2 linked regions of the Alligator mississippiensis genome follow. The protein of the gene in region 1 interacts with the protein of each later gene in a pairwise test. Links are inferred from orthologs where the notes say so. Each region holds a gene or a part of one and is shown on either strand. Other genes may lie near its edges.

Evidence for each region.
Region 2: the proteins of UBAC1 (region 1) and CPSF6 interact in a two-hybrid assay, tested with the Homo sapiens proteins (2 studies listed by BioGRID and IntAct). The link is inferred for Alligator mississippiensis from reciprocal best matches to the Homo sapiens genes UBAC1 and CPSF6.

Annotation. Positions count from the first base shown.
Region 1 is NC_081835.1:63,767,368-63,775,218, reverse strand, and holds the start of UBAC1 (ubiquitin-associated domain-containing protein 1), read right to left. Parts: upstream 3,011-7,851; 5' UTR 2,883-3,010; coding exon 2,745-2,882; intron 1-2,744.
Region 2 is NC_081827.1:69,658,177-69,665,731, forward strand, and holds the start of CPSF6 (cleavage and polyadenylation specificity factor subunit 6), read left to right. Parts: upstream 1-4,553; 5' UTR 4,554-4,648; coding exon 4,649-4,708; intron 4,709-7,555. UniProt on the Homo sapiens protein: Component of the cleavage factor Im (CFIm) complex that functions as an activator of the pre-mRNA 3'-end cleavage and polyadenylation processing required for the maturation of pre-mRNA into functional mRNAs.

The sequences.
Region 1 (7,851 bases):
GCCTGACTCCTATTGTGTACAAACTTCTATTCAATTAAGCCTCCTGAAAACTAAAGGCTTTAAAAGATTGTACTTTGATAGTCCTTCACCATTCAGGGGGGCTGAATAAGGACAGCAATACCATGCTCCAGAAGCTCTGCAGCATGCGATGATCCCATACCTATTTTGCCAAACAGAAACAGCCCAATTTTGCCCGAAGACAACATTTACCTTGGACAAAGCCAAACCAAATGCTGCTGCTTGCCTTCTTTAAACATGGGAGTGGCTGTGGAGACTACAGGCCCTAGCATGCTATGAGCTAAACAGATGACCTTCTGGATTAAGATGCAATACTGAAGGCTGAGACCTGTAATTTCCAAGGGGCTGTGTAAAAATAAGCAGCTGTGCGTCACATTGTATGATTGCTATGGATGCATTTAGCTTATTGATCAGCCTTGCTCAAATACAATCACTGTATGCCTACAAGATAAAATGAGTTAGTTTGTGATAACATTTTATGTTATGGGATGTGAAATGTAATCATACACTTCTGGTTTTAACTTCTTGTTCGTGTATTAAAACTACATCATTGCTAGAAGAAACATCACCTCTGAAACACGTGGATGGTGCAAACTACTGCAAAGGGCATCCTTCACACTCTTGAAATCATTTAAAGAGAGGTTAAATAACTTGTCCAAGTCGCTACAGCCAGTCCTCACCAAACCTGGGATTAGAATTCAGCAATCTGCTGCTGAGACTGTTCGGCCATGCTGCCTTGGCTCAGAAATGACATCTTCTGGGGCAAATCCTGATCATACACCGAGATTCAACACACTATTTCAGACTTGTGTCTGAACAGTCCTTACAGCTTTAGGATTTCAATCCAGTAGAGCCCTGGATAAGCAGATTATTAACTTTATGACCATGTACACGGTAACTGGGCCAACCAGAATGAAGGAGCTTTTTGTATTCAAGCCAAATTTCTGCAATGAGACCTTTAAACTTCTCATTTCTGTGCGATCAGTTATCTAAAAGAATCATTGGAATAACTGCAAATGTGTTAAGGGATAGAGGGCAAGAGGCCATCAGGATAATCCATCCACTGGTCCCCGAAGGCAACCTACACTATTACTGCACCGATTTGGGAGCACTGTTGTGACATTTGCTTTACCAAGGTTATATTCATTCCTGTGTGTAAGGGTTTAAACACACTCATACAAAAGAAAATCAGCTTTAAGCACTTGACTAATATATGCAGGGATATCATAATTGAAAATCACAGCCTTCAAGCTTTAACACATTGCAAAAGCATTGGTTTACACCATAATCCATAGTGTAATTACACTAATTGTGGAGGTGGAAGGATTTCTATTGCATGGATGTTCCCCACTACAGTTCCCCTTTACACATCTGTCTGCGCTTAAAACAGAGCAAGGAAATGCATGGATACTGCAGTTACTTCAGGGAGTCATCTGAAACCAGTTTACCATCTTCTCCCAGCATGGAGCTGCCAGTCCCTGCCCCCCCCGCCCCACGAATAAAAGATAGGCATACCCAACACAAGCCACCCGAATCCCGACCTCAAGAGTCCCAAAACGACTCCCTTCCTAACCCTGCTCCTCCTCAGCACTTGAAGGCCGTGAGTGCTGGTCTCCAAGGCTCCCCGAGTTTGGGGGGGAACATTACAGACGCGGCTGTGGCAAAAGAAACAACTGACTAGAGGCACGGCGCACGTTTGAATACCGACTGCACGCCGCAGCGACGGCCTGGACCAGCCCCGCTTTCCCCCGGCTGCAAGCAGAGACGGCTGCGCTGAGCACGGCACCGCAGCAGCTGACACAATCACAAGGCAACCCCCCTTTTTTCCAGCTCTGCGCACAAAAGTATTTTTAAGCCCCCCCAAAGGCATCGGGGGCTGCCTACAGCTGCGGCCGGGCGCTTCCACTGGGCTGTGCCAGCGCTCTGCCAGCAGCCGAGATGCAGGATCCTGCCTCCGGCGTTAGGGCTGTGTTGCATCAAGCTTGTCTTACGCACAGTTGAGATGGTTGCACGGGACGGTCTGCACAGGGGTTGGACAGGCCGGCCGCTCAGGGTCCCACTGATGCTGTATTTGGGGTCAGGAAGGAATCCCCCCCCCCCCCCCGACCCCAAAACCAGACCCCCAAAATCAACCCCCCTCCAAAACCAGACCCAAGAAAAATCAGAACTGCCTCGAAAATCAACCCCCCTCCAAAACCAGACCCCAAAAATCACCCACTCCAAAATCAGCCCACCACTCCAAAATGAACCCCACGCCAGTCAGACCCCAAAAGTCAACCCCCCTCCAAAAATCAGAGCCCCCCCTCCAAAAAACAGAACCCAAAATCAACCCCCCTTGAAAAAAGTCAACCGCCTCCAAAAATCAGACCCTAAAATCAACCCCCCTCCAAAACCAGACCCCAAAAATTGGACTCCAAAATCAGACCCCCCCCCCAAAATCAACCCCCCTCCAAAAACCAGGCCTCAAAATCAGACCCCCCCTCCAAAACCAAGCCCCCAAATCAGACCCCCCCCTCCAAAAATCAACCCCCTCCAAAATCAGACCCCCCCTCCAAAAATCAACCCCCTCCAAAGTCAAACCCCAAAATCAGACCCCCCTCGAAAAATCAACCCCCTCCAAAACCAGACCCCAAACTCGACCCCGCTCCATAATCAGATCCTCAAATCACGCCCCCCCCCACCCAGGTGCACGCCGGGGGGCGGGGGGAGGGGTGCCGGTCCCTTACGTGCTTGAGGCAGCGCTCCTTGAGCTTCTCCACCGTGGTGTCCTCCGAGACCTCCTCCAGCCACTCCGCGCCCTCCGCGCTGCAGACGTGGAGCCGCAGCACCTTGCCGGCGAAGATCTTCTCCTCCTGCACGAACATCGCCGCCCGCTGCTCTCCTCACCGGCCCAGCGGCATGGCGGCGCCCCCGCCGCGCTGAGGGGCCCCGGCCCCGGCCCCGCCGCCCCGCACGGCTCCTGTCACGGCCGCGGCCCCTGCTGAGGGGACCAGCCCAGCGCCGGAAGTCGCGGCCGCGCTGCATGCTGGGAGCCGTAGTCTCCCCCTCAGCCGCCTCGCTCGCGGCCGGAAGTGGCCGCGCACGGGCTGCCGGGAGTTAGGCTGCCGCCGCCGCTGAAGTGCCCAGTGCATGTGGGAGTTGTAGTCCCCCCGACATGGAGACTGGGAAGCGCTGCGGTGCATTATGGGAATTATAGTCCCCCAATATGGCGGCGGGGGGGCGCTGCGGTGCATTGTGGGAATTATAGTTCCCTCCAACATGGAGGCTGGGGTCATTGCGATGCATTGTGGGAATTATAGTTTTCCCCCAACTTGAAATATGGGAGGCTCTGCGGTGCATTGTGGGAATCATAGTTCCCCCCCCCCCAATGTGGAGGTAGGGAGCCGCTGTGGCGCATTGTGGGAATTATAGTCTCCCCGAATATGGAGGTTGGGAGCCGCTGCGGTGCATTGTGGGAATCATAGTTCCCCCAAAACATGGAGGCTGGGAGCCCTGCGGTGCATTGTGGGAGTTAGAGTCCATCCTCTTGAAGGCCCCGGGCACAGAGTGGGGAGGAGGATGGATGGTTCCCAGTGCACTGTGGGAATTGCAGTCCTCCCCCCTCCCTGGGCCTACAGCGGGGTCCTGCCAGCTCCCCTCCCAAGGATGGCAGCCTGCCCCTTCTCCTTCCCCCATGTGTGCTAGAAGCTCTCCCTCTCCACCCCTACATCCACCTTGCCCCAGTGCACCATGGGAGCCGTAGTCCCTGTCAGGCTATGGAACCCACCAGGTGCATGCTGGGAGATGCAGACCCTGCAGGCAGGGTGGCTTCAGATGCATTGTGGGAAGGGGCACCCTTCAAAGGATCTGGTGGCACCCTAGGACCCTGGTTGAGAATCACTGGCGTACAGTGTGGGAGAGTCTCGTCTCACTTTTTCACCCCCGATTCTTTTGTGGACAACATCCAGCGACATTTCATCAATGTGACATCCTGCAATACGTCCAGTTTGGGTTTCGGTCCCTTCACCCCACACCCGTCCACCTTCACCGACTTTCAGAAATCTACCTTAGGGGCTAAGGCTTATGGCGGCCCCTCCAAAATTAACTATATATATAAATGTTTTGCAATTTCTCATCTGGTCCAATAAAAAGTCTCATCTCCGAACCAAGAGTTGTAGATTTGTGCATTGCAGGGTTGATGTTGGGGAACGCAGGTCACAACCATGGACCCCCTGAGTTAGGAGCATCCTAAAATCAACCCCGCTCTGGAGTTAGACCCCCAAATCAACCCCCCCTCCAAAAACCAGACCCCAAAATACCCTCTACACCACTGCTACCAGCACCACTTGTGAATCACATCAGGAAATGGGCTTACGGGCCTTCAGGTAGTGAAACACTGGCTGGGGAATTTTGGATTCACGGTGAAAAATGTTTGTTTTCCCTCCAAAAGTGAAGAAAATATGTTAAAATACATTAAAATAAGCGGAATGATGTTGGAATATACATGCTTTAAATGAAAATGCAGAACCACAAGTCAGACCAGCTGTAACATGAAAATAGGTTATCCTAGAATAATTGGCTTCAGCTGAACGCAGGAAGACAAAAGACAGTGAGAACCACCTTATTTTGTAATGGAAGAAATAGAGAGAGGACTAGTCTGACACCAACAAAAGTCAAATATTGTCTCTTGAACGTAGCCGTTGTTAGACGTGAGGCACCGTTCCCGGACGTCCGCAAATGACTGAAAACGGAAGCTTTGAGACTCGATGCAGAAAAGGCTCTGACTTTTGTGTTCTCCTATTTCCGCAGTCCACGTGTGACTATTAAACAATAAAACCAAGATAAGTTGGCTACTGGTCTGTAAAGAACATTTGGGAACCTGCTTTTATTGAATGGCTCTTTTTGAAGCTGTGGGACTTGATAAGAGCAGCTCAATTTAGCCAGTAGGGGGAGACAAGAAACTGTATTGAGGACAGAAAAGATGAAGAATTACTGGAAATATAAAATATATTAATACTGCGATTGATTTATTAGAGCAGGGGAGGCATATTCTTATCCTTTCATCCTCTTCTCTTGTTTTTCTTTCACTCCATTGTAAGGTCATTCATTTTGCTCTTCCAGTTGGTTTGTGCTGATTATGCCGTTACAAATGAAAAAAAAAAAAGTTAATTTTTCATGTTTCTGGAATTTGGTAGTAATATTTTTGGGGGGGGAAAAAAAACCAGATTCAGTTCAGACCATCTCTTTGTTTCCCTTGCATCTGCAAAAACAGTGTCGTGCCAGACGGACAGATATTCCACAAACACTACATTTGCCAAACCCAGAATTAAAACAAAACATAGTATTTAGATCTAGGTGTCTTCACATGGGCAGCGAAACCCAAAACTGGCTTTTGATCTTTCTATTGAGGTGATTTCTCAAACTCATACAAGAGAACCAAGGTTTCCTGGCTCTAAGTCCCCATTGTAACCAGGAGATGAAACACCGTTTCTTACCTTGCTGCCTGCCTGCATTGAGACATGTTTTACCCTCCCTGTGTCTCAATCCTCCACTGCACCCGGGGCTCGCTTCACTCACTTTCTTCCACCCTTTCTCCGTCTTGTTTATGTAGACTCTGTCTCTCATTCTGTAATTACACATCACTTCATCACAGAGCCACAGGGCCCTGATTTTAGGTGGGCCTCTACATGTTAGTGTAACACAAATACATATTTCTAATTAACATAGGGTCGATCTCAGGAAAAAGAGATTCTAGCGCTCAACCCTTCCCTATGAAAACGAGGCACTCTTCCCTGGACCTGTTACATGCAACATGGGCCGGGAAATTTTACATCTCCATGGAGCTACAGCTGCACCTGACTAAGAATGGGATTTGGCTTTGGTGGTCACAGCGCACAGTGATCATTTGACTCCATGAAATGCAAATGACGTCCTACAAGCCACTTCCTGCTAATGCTGATGCATTTGCCTCCGCTTATACCTACCAAAATGGAAGGTGGTTTTAGAGAGCAGCCTTCATTCTGAGGTTTTCAAGTACAGGAAAAACTCCCACCCTTTCTAAAAAAGCAACATGTGCCAAGAAAAGCTACTGGTAACATATATACCCTGCCTGCTAGTTTACCCACCAGCAGACCAGGCCGGATCTTTGCAAGGTGGAGATTTCACATCTCCGTCTTTACATGATAGAAAGTACTCCTCCTTCCACAGCTCTCTAGCACTTACCCATTTTTATTCTGAAAAGAAGGGAGATGCCCCATTGCTTCCCAGAGTCAAATCCCACTGGATACTATTTAGAGAATACTGTATATTTGCCTGCATGACAAAAATATCTGGGCGCATCCATAGGCATTAAAAAAAAAGTCTCTCTTGGTGCAGAAAATCAAGCATTCCTTACTCTGGACAATAAATCCCAATTGCACCATTAGCACAAGTCTCCAAGCCAAAGAAAACAGATGCATTTTGGACTCTGTCCTGAAGGCCGACAGACCACAAGAGGGAGCAAACTTCCCCTTAGCTGAAAACTTGCCAGCTCCCATCAGCTCTAGGGAAGGGCTGCCAGAGCCTTGCAGCTCACAACAGGTCCCCTTTCCTTATGAATGACCAGTGCTATACGCCATCAACCATCAGGCTATTTGAGCGTGCTATGCGGTGTTCCCTCTCCATGCATACATTGGGATTCCCGCTGTTATGAACACAAGATCAAAACGGGGTGAAAAGCCGACCTTGCAATATTAAGCCTTGCTTTTTAAAAGCACCTTTCACTTGCAATGCCCCATGGCGACAATGCCATTAAACCTTCCCCGGCAGCGATTGTCACTGCTGCTCGGTAAAATAGCGGGTGCAAAAAACAACAGAACTTTGTAGCTTTTCTTGGGGCATTGCCCGGCACCTTGGCCTGGGCGGGCGGCTCTTGGCAGAAAGGACCCGTCTCTGTTTTCGTGGTAGAAGTGAGGGGCAGGAGGAGGGAGTTTGGACTTCACCTCTCCCTGCCCCTCTCCGTGGTGCTGAAACACTGGCTTTTCTCTGAGCCTGTCCGCACCTTGGGGGCTGATCGGACACCCACTGAAGGCCAGACTTCTCCTAAACTTCAGTAGGAGGTCCATTAGTCACATTCACTTTTATTAGGCCAGCTCAAATAGTTGGAAATTTTTTTTTTTTGCAAGTTTTCAGGTATAAATACCCTTCGCCAGACTGAGGAAGCGTCTGCAGTTGGTCTGTGCTCAAACTATCTGCAGAGGCTTCCTGAGCCCGACGAAGGGTATTTATACCTGAAAGCTTGCAAAGATTTTTTCCAACTATTTGAGCTGGTCTAATAAAAGCTATTACATTTACCCCATGAACCTTGTCTACCGATGTCCTTAGACCAACACGGCTACAACCCATATCCATTAGTCACGTTAGTCACTTGGTTCCCATCATATTCTTTACATTTTTAGCTGTTAATTATGTCCTACTGCTGTGGACTGATGTTTGCAAGACCCAGGGTGGCTGCCAGGCACAGAATCAATCGAACCCCTATAGGAACCACTTCTCACACTTTTATTATTATCATCATTATTATTTGTTCAATGGGACTTCTACTAGTTGCACAGTCCTGGGAGACCTGGAAACCTTGTGTCTGAATCAGCAGCGCAACTCGCTGAAATCCTAGCCCTTTCTCTCCCCTAAGAAGGGATCAAACAGCGGATTACATTCAGAGATATTTAAAAGCAATAAGGCAGCACTCAGGTTTCTGCACGGGCCTAAATTGAGCTGGGAGCTTTGTCTGAGTCCACGATTTGGTGGAGTTTCACACAACCATCCAGCTGTTTTATCAACAGAAATCATTGCAGGGCGAGGGAACTTTTTGGAACG
Region 2 (7,555 bases), on another chromosome or scaffold:
TATAAGGCTTCTTCATATAATGGCAAAACTTTCACCTTTTTCCCAATATGGATATCTAACACTTTTATATGAGAGATCTTCTCTGAAGTGCTGTTGTTTTATTCAAACATGGCTTATGCAGAGCTCAATCTGTATTTTTTATCTGTGGTGAGAAATAACACTGTTAGTCTCAAAATTTACTCATTTACTCAACAGTCCAGTTAATATCTCAGTGTCTATCTCTCAGCAAAGCCTTAGAATCATAGAAAGTTAGGGTTGGAAGGGACCTCAGGAGGTCATCTAGTCTAGTCCAACCCCCTCCTTAACGCAGGACCATCCCCAGCTAGATCAATCCAGGCAGAACTTTGTCAAGCCAGCCTTAAAAACCTCCAAGGATAGAGATTCCACAACCTCTCTAGGTAACCCATTCCAGTGCTTCACCATCCTCCTAGTGAGAAAGTTTTCCTAATCTCAAACCTAAACCTCCTTTGCTGCAACTTGAGATTGTTGCTCCTTGTTCTCTCATCTGTCATCACTGAGAACAGTCCAGTTCCATTCTCTTCCGAACCCCACTTCACACAGTTAAAGGCTGCTATCAAATCCCCTCCTCTGTCTTCTCTTCTGCAGACTAAATAAGCCGAGTTCCCTCAGTCTCTCCTCATAAGTCATGTACCCCAGCCCTCTAACCATTTTTGTCCCTCTCTGCTGACCTCTCTCCAACTTGTCCACACCCTTTCTATAGTAGGGGGCCAAAAACTGGACACAGTACTCCAGATGTGGCCTCACCAGTGCAGAATGGAGTGGAATATTATAGAAGAATACCTTCTCTCTATCTGCCGGCAATGGTCCCACTAATGCAGCCCAGTATGCTGTTAGCCTTCTTGGCAACAAGGGCACACTGCTGACTTATATCCATCTTCTTGTCCACTGTAACTCCCAGGTCTTTTTCTCAGAGCTGCTGCTTATCCAGTTGGTTCCAAGCCTGTAGCAGTACATGGGATTCTTCTGTCCTAAGTGCACAACGTTGCACTTGTCTTTGCTGAACCTCATGAGAATTTTTTTGGCCCTATCCTCCAATTTGTCTAGGTCACTCTGAATCCTAGCCGTACCCTCTAGTGTATCTACTACTCCCCACAGCTTGGTGTCATCTGCAAACTTGCTGAGGGTGCAATCCATCCCATCTTCCAGATCATTAATGAAGACATTAAACAAAACTGGCCCCAGGACCAACCACTGGGGCACTGCACTTGATACTGGCTTCCAGATAGACATCGAGCCATTGATTACTACCTGTTGAGTCCAACAATCCAGGCAGCTTTCTATCCACTTTACAGTCCATTCATCCAACCCATACTTCCTCAGTTGCTTAAAATAATGCTGTCTGTGGGAGACTGTATCAAAAGCCATACTAAAGTCAAGGTATATTTTGTCTACTGCTTTCCCTGCATCAACAGAGCCATAGATCATCATAGAAGGCAATCAGGTTGGTCAGGCATAAATTGCCCTTGGTGAATCCATGCTGACTGTTCCTAATCAACTTCTTCTCCAATTGCTTAGGAAGGGATTCTTTGAGCAGGGACAGCCCACAATTTTTGGGAGCCCCCTGCAAGAAATAGTTTTGGGGCCCCCTGTGGCGGCTGGGGGGGGGGGAGGGGGGGCGATGAGCAGCCAAAGAAGCCAGTGGTGGCGGGGGGTGGTGAATGGCCAGACATGAAGCCGGTGGTGGCAGTGTCATTGGTGGCAGGAGGGAGGGGTGGCAAGCAGCTGGACTCAGGAGGGCCCTTAGCTGTGGGGTCCCCTGTGGCCGCAGGTTTTGCAGCATAGGACGGACCAGTCCTGTCTTTGAGGATCTGCTCCATGATTTTTCCAGGGACTGAGGTGAGCCTGACTGGTCTGTAGTTCCCTGGATCCTCCTTCTTCTCTTTCTTAAAGATGGGTGTGAGAAAGTAAAAGAAAAGAGGGCCTGAGTTACTGCAGGGGGGGAGGGAAATAGTCACTGCAGGTGTGGGAGTGGCCCTGACCAGAGCAAGACTGATGCAGATGTGCTTCCATAGTTCCTGCTCCCTCTGGATTGGTGGAGGGAGCCTGAGGAAGAATATTTCCAGTCCCAGAGAGGGGCAGCTGGGAGAGGACACTGATGGATTAGGCAAGGGGATGCTGGAGACCTACCCAGCTCACAGAGTCCTAAAGCCATCTGTGCCCAAGAGCAGAACATGAGGGAATGGTGAGGAGCTGGTGAGCAGAGGGCTGTGGCAGTGAGGACCACAGCAAGGAGCCAGCAAAGACAGAGAGACTAGGGAAAGTCATCACTGGATGAGCCCGGAAGCTGTTGAAGGTACAGCCTCCCCACCCTTTTTTTTTCCCTGTTGGTTGTTTTTTTGTTGTTTCATCTCCTCACTGCACTGGGGTACAGGGAGAAAGAGAAGAGCCCCTACCCTGCAGAAACCTTGGTTGTCCCACCCCAGGAAAGCCAAGCCAGAGGGGAGGTAGTTTGATTAAGAGCCATGGTACCAGTAAGAAAACCAGGCATGGAGGACAGGTGTTAATTTAAGACTGATCAAGTTAAAGGTTCCTGGCAAACCAATTTTCATTGTCTGTCTTGTGTATGTGCAGGGAATTTAATTTGATTGTCTCGTGAGCCTTAAATTACTTGACTGGGAGTGATTGTCCCATGAATTGGAGGAAAATTGATTTAAGTTATTTGCTTGATGGACTATTCAATGAATTGATATAGTGAAGTTGATCCTTGGTCTCTTGGGAACTGACTAAAGTTGGAGGCCTTGTGGTGCCTGAATCAAGTGATTTGAGTATACAAACACAACCATTTATTAAGCCAATGAATAGCTGCCGGAGGTACAGCTGTTCCACGCAGGATCCAGACCATGACGTTTGCCATCTGATGTGGGATAGCAAGGACGGGGTGTAAGGGGAAGAGGAGTCCTGTGAAGAAAACCCTTGGAGGACTCAGTGGAATCTTGCCTTCATACTACATCCACCTTTTGATAAGAAGTTCCATCAAGATGTGGCAGGCAAGGATAGAACACCTGAGGTAGGTGGCAGTGATATTCCCAGGTCCCTTTCCAAATGGCACATGTGAGCCATATAGGGTTATCCCCCAACAATGGGCACTATATTTGCCCTTTTCCAATTATCTGGGACCACCCCCTCCCCCCTGTAATTGCCACAAGTTTTCAGAGATAATGGTCAGTGGCTCTGCAATCACTTCAGCCAACTCCCTCAGCATCCTCAGATGCATTGCATCCAGCCCTGTGGACTTGTACACGTCCAATATTAATAAATAGTCCCTAACCAGTTCTTTCACCACTGGGGGATGCTGACCTCCCCAAACGGTGCTGCCTGGTGTAGTAGTTTGGGAGCTGACCTTGGCTGTAAAGACCAAGGTAAATGTGAAGACCGAGATCACCTTATCTGACTTTTTTTTTTCTAAGTGAAATACCAAGTTTTTGGAACAGGTTGTAGATCTGATAGTTCTCTTAAATAGGAAATTTCAGTATTGTTTAGAATGGACTCAATTTATTTTAGCCATTACACTTAATTTCTGGGTTCTAGAAATGTTAACTCTGGGAACCAGGTAAGAGGGCTAAGCTTAACATTAGGTAACAATTCATACACTGGACAGCAACTCAAGAAATAAGGCATTACAGCTCTTCTTTGGAAGAAGATTTATTTAATGAATTTGACCGCAACATTTAACCTCATGATTTCTTGCTGCATATATGAAAAAAAATCAGCTAAAATTTGATATCTTCCATGTATCAGGTATCCAGATTTTTTTAAATTAAATCTTCATATTTTCCCAAGCAGCTAGCAACTGTGACCACCAGAAACCTGAGATCCTTTGTTTCAAGGTGATTTGCATCCTCATCACAGATCTCACAGGAGGCGAGAGGCTCCATACCAGCTATGAACCGACTGCCCAGAGGAGTTTTCCATCTATTGACTCCTCTGTGAAATCCTACGAAATACGAACTTTCATTTCTACCCAGGAGAACTTTTACAATCTTTTCTTTGATGCCTGATGAAGGGTGTTTGTGCCCGAAAGCTTGCAATTAAAGAAATTTTTTTGCAAAAATCTTGCTGGTCTAATAAAAGATACCTACCTTCTCTACTCCGAGTCCTGATTGTTTTTTCTTCTAGAGCAATACCGCTACAACCTGGATACCTGATGCAAGTAGAAAAGAAACTCCATGTTGTGCAGGGCAGTTAGAGGCCAGCGGGGCTCCCCTGGGCTTCAACGCTTTTACTATTTAATATTAACAGCACAAGGATGGAATTAATCCCCACACACGCGACAACCCCCCCAGCCCTGGACAATACTTGGGCTGACGGACGAGGGGGCGGGGCGTGGAGAGCTCGGGAGGGGGCGGGGCCTGTCCGGATTGGAGACGGCGCTCTCAGGGTGACGTGCCCCCCGCGCGGTGGTGGGGGGCGGCGGTGCGCGCAGGCCTGCCCCGCCCCCGCCCTCCCACAAGCCCCCTCGGCCGAGGGCGGGCTCAGGCGGAGCAGCGGGGCAGCAGTGGTTACTTCAGCAGCCGGAAGCGGCCTGTCGCCTTCCGGAAGTGACGTCACGCCCCCCTCTCTCCCCGCGGAGGCGGCAGCGCTAGAGCCGGGCGCGGCTGGCGGCGGGGCCCGAGGTGCGGGCGGGATCATGGCGGACGGCGTGGACCACATAGACATTTACGCCGACGTGGGCGAGGAGTTCAACCAGGTGCGCGCGGCTCCCCTCCGCCTCTCCCCCTCGGGCCTCCCCAGCCCGGCCGAGGGGCTGCGTCGCCTGCCGGGCCCGCGGCGGGGAGGCCCAGCTCGGCCCGGCCCGGCCCGGCCCGGCCGCCATTGTTCGCGGCCGCTGCTTTCCCGCGGTGGGAGGCCGCCGGCGCAGGCCGCATGCGCAGCGAAGGCAGCGGGAGCCACCAGCAGCGGCCTGCCTGCTTCCTCTCCGCCTGGCCCTGGCCCTGCCCGTGCCGGGGTCTTGGTGGCGGCGGAGGAGGGAGGTGGGGAATGGCTCCACCTCCCGCGGCTCATCCGCGTCCGGGCCGGCGGGAAGGTGCGCGGTGCTCGGGGAGGCGGGAGCAGCACGGCTGCCTCCCGGCCGCCGCCCGCCGCCCGCTCAGGCAGACCAGTGGCCGCCCCGGCTAGAGGAGCCGCCTCCGGGGGATGGCAGAGGAGGCCTGAGGTGCTCAATTGCTGAGCTACTAAAAGGCCAGAGGCTCGAGGGGCAGGGATTGGCCTTGTGCTGGTCCACCCTGCACAAACACTGAAACAAAACAATCCCAGAAAGGCAGACCTGCCCCAGGTCTTCTCAGGAGTGGGGCAGCCCTGAGAGACTCCCCGCATCTCTTTTAAATAGCCCCGTGGTGCCTTTGGCCCCCTGGCGATGGGGATGCTGTTATTGCACTTTTCACTTGCACCTCAACTGACAGACACTTGGATTTTCTTTGAAATGTGTCAGTCTTTTCTCCCCCTCTGAAAACAAAGTGCAAACTGCCCTGCGCGTCCCTACTGAAATGCATGAGCGGGCCTCCCCCAACCCCACTAACAGCTGCAGTTACCTCAAGAAACATAGTGGTGGTTTCATGTGTGGTGGTGTCCCCCACTGCGTTGTTCCTTTCTGCAAAACAAGGGATCAAGTAAAGAATCTGCCCTCAGCAGATCGACCAGACTCACTGACCAGCTGATGTGTGGCAGTGGGTGTATAAGCAGAGGGAGGTTCATAGAGACTCAGGCGATAAGGAGGAGGGAGGTGACTGTGGGATTGTATTGGAGTGGTGGTTGGAGAAGAAATTGTGTCCCAAAATTTAAATCAATATCTAGAGGCTTGGGATATTTTTCAGAAAATAAGGTCATTTTTAAAATTTGATATTACGGAAGAGTAGCAAACTGTGAGGCAAGCAGGCAATAGAGAAGACTGGTTTGTTCATTTAAGACTTTTGGGTTGTTTAAATGGGAAGGATATACTGGTATAATGTGGAAGGGACACCCTGGGCCATAGAGTCAAGTTGCCTGCGTTTGTTATCCCGAGAAATCCCCATTGTCATCCTCAGCCCCTTACACTCTGCTACAAGGCATCATACCAACAATACCAAGAACGCTGTGTGATATGCTATAGGTAGAAGCAGGGACGACAATGACACTCTACCTGGGAGAAATGTTACAATCTTTGCCTTAAAGCTTGCAAATTAAAAAAAAAAATTGTAACTGTTTAGTTGGTCTAATAAAAAATACCACTTCTACCACACTGGCTGCTTGTACTTTTAGACCAACATGGCTACAACCTTTATCCCTGCTACTAAGTTAACCTGGAAGCAGTTGGTTAATATATACAGAAGATCCTAGGAGAAGGATCATGCCCATGCTGTTGAGAAAAGCAGTAACCCCAATGATCTCCTAATCTGGCCCAGACAAAAAGTTTTTGCTGGGTTTGAATTTTGTTACTGGTATGATCTTGAGTGGCAGTGCAGGACCTTCTAGCTGGGAAATTGTTTTCTCAGTGCCATCAAAAACATCAGCATGTCCTGGTTGAAACCCCCTTGCCTTACCTTACTGGAGATTGTGGATTTTAAGTGGTGCAAGCCCCAATGGGAATGGTTTTGTTCTTGTTTAGTTTAGTTTAGAATGGGTTCCCATTAAACCAAATTAAAGCCTCTCTTATGCTAAAAGAAGTATGTCCAAGAGCAATGTTGCACTATTTGACTAAACTAGTGTAATGTAAACTGGTGCAAATTTGTTTGTATTCAAGCCATTAAAGTAGGTAATTGATTGCTTGGAAAAATGGTGCAAATATTTGACGTTCTTGCTACTTGTATGGTTGCAGAAGAGACCTTGATTTTATCCAGTTTCTTGCAGTATATCTGTGTGATTCAGTTTTACAGAGGTGGTGGGTATATGTTGGGTGTTCTTTGCAATAAGTCTGCCAGTCAGAGCAATGGCATCAATGAATACATTCTGATTGTACTTCATTCAGGGCTCCTACTTAAGATGCACCTTTCCTGTATTGTTTGGTTTAGTCTCGCCTTGCATGTCTTCCTTTCTGCAGCAGATTTATTTTTGCTTGCAAATAGTAAATGCTATTTTCCATATAATTTTTCCTTTTAGTGATAACGTTTCAAAATATCTTCTGAAAAGTTTCTGATATCTTGTAAGTAAAATTTTAGGGGATAATTCCACTCAAAACAGTCATAAAACTTGGGAAGCTATTTCTGTTGTGAGCATGTGATCCCAGTAAAATGGCAAATGTCCAGGAAGCTTTTTGACTGGACTCTGCTTTTCTATGGTTAGTATATGTACTTTCTGCATAATTATTTAGTCTAGTTGCATTCTCGGTTTTTACTAATGTTATGATCTAATTTGGTACTGACAGCTATGGATTAATAGAGCTAAAAGAAATTCTAGTTAATCAAAATATTGTAAACCTCTTCTCTACATTTTTTGTGGTGACAGTGCATGGTTTGTTGTAATAGAAGATTCCAACAGACTAATTAGAAGCAGCATACAGGCTTGTGGGACATTACTTCTTATTTTTCTGTGCTTAAGAAATTCACCCAAGCTGTTTCAGCAC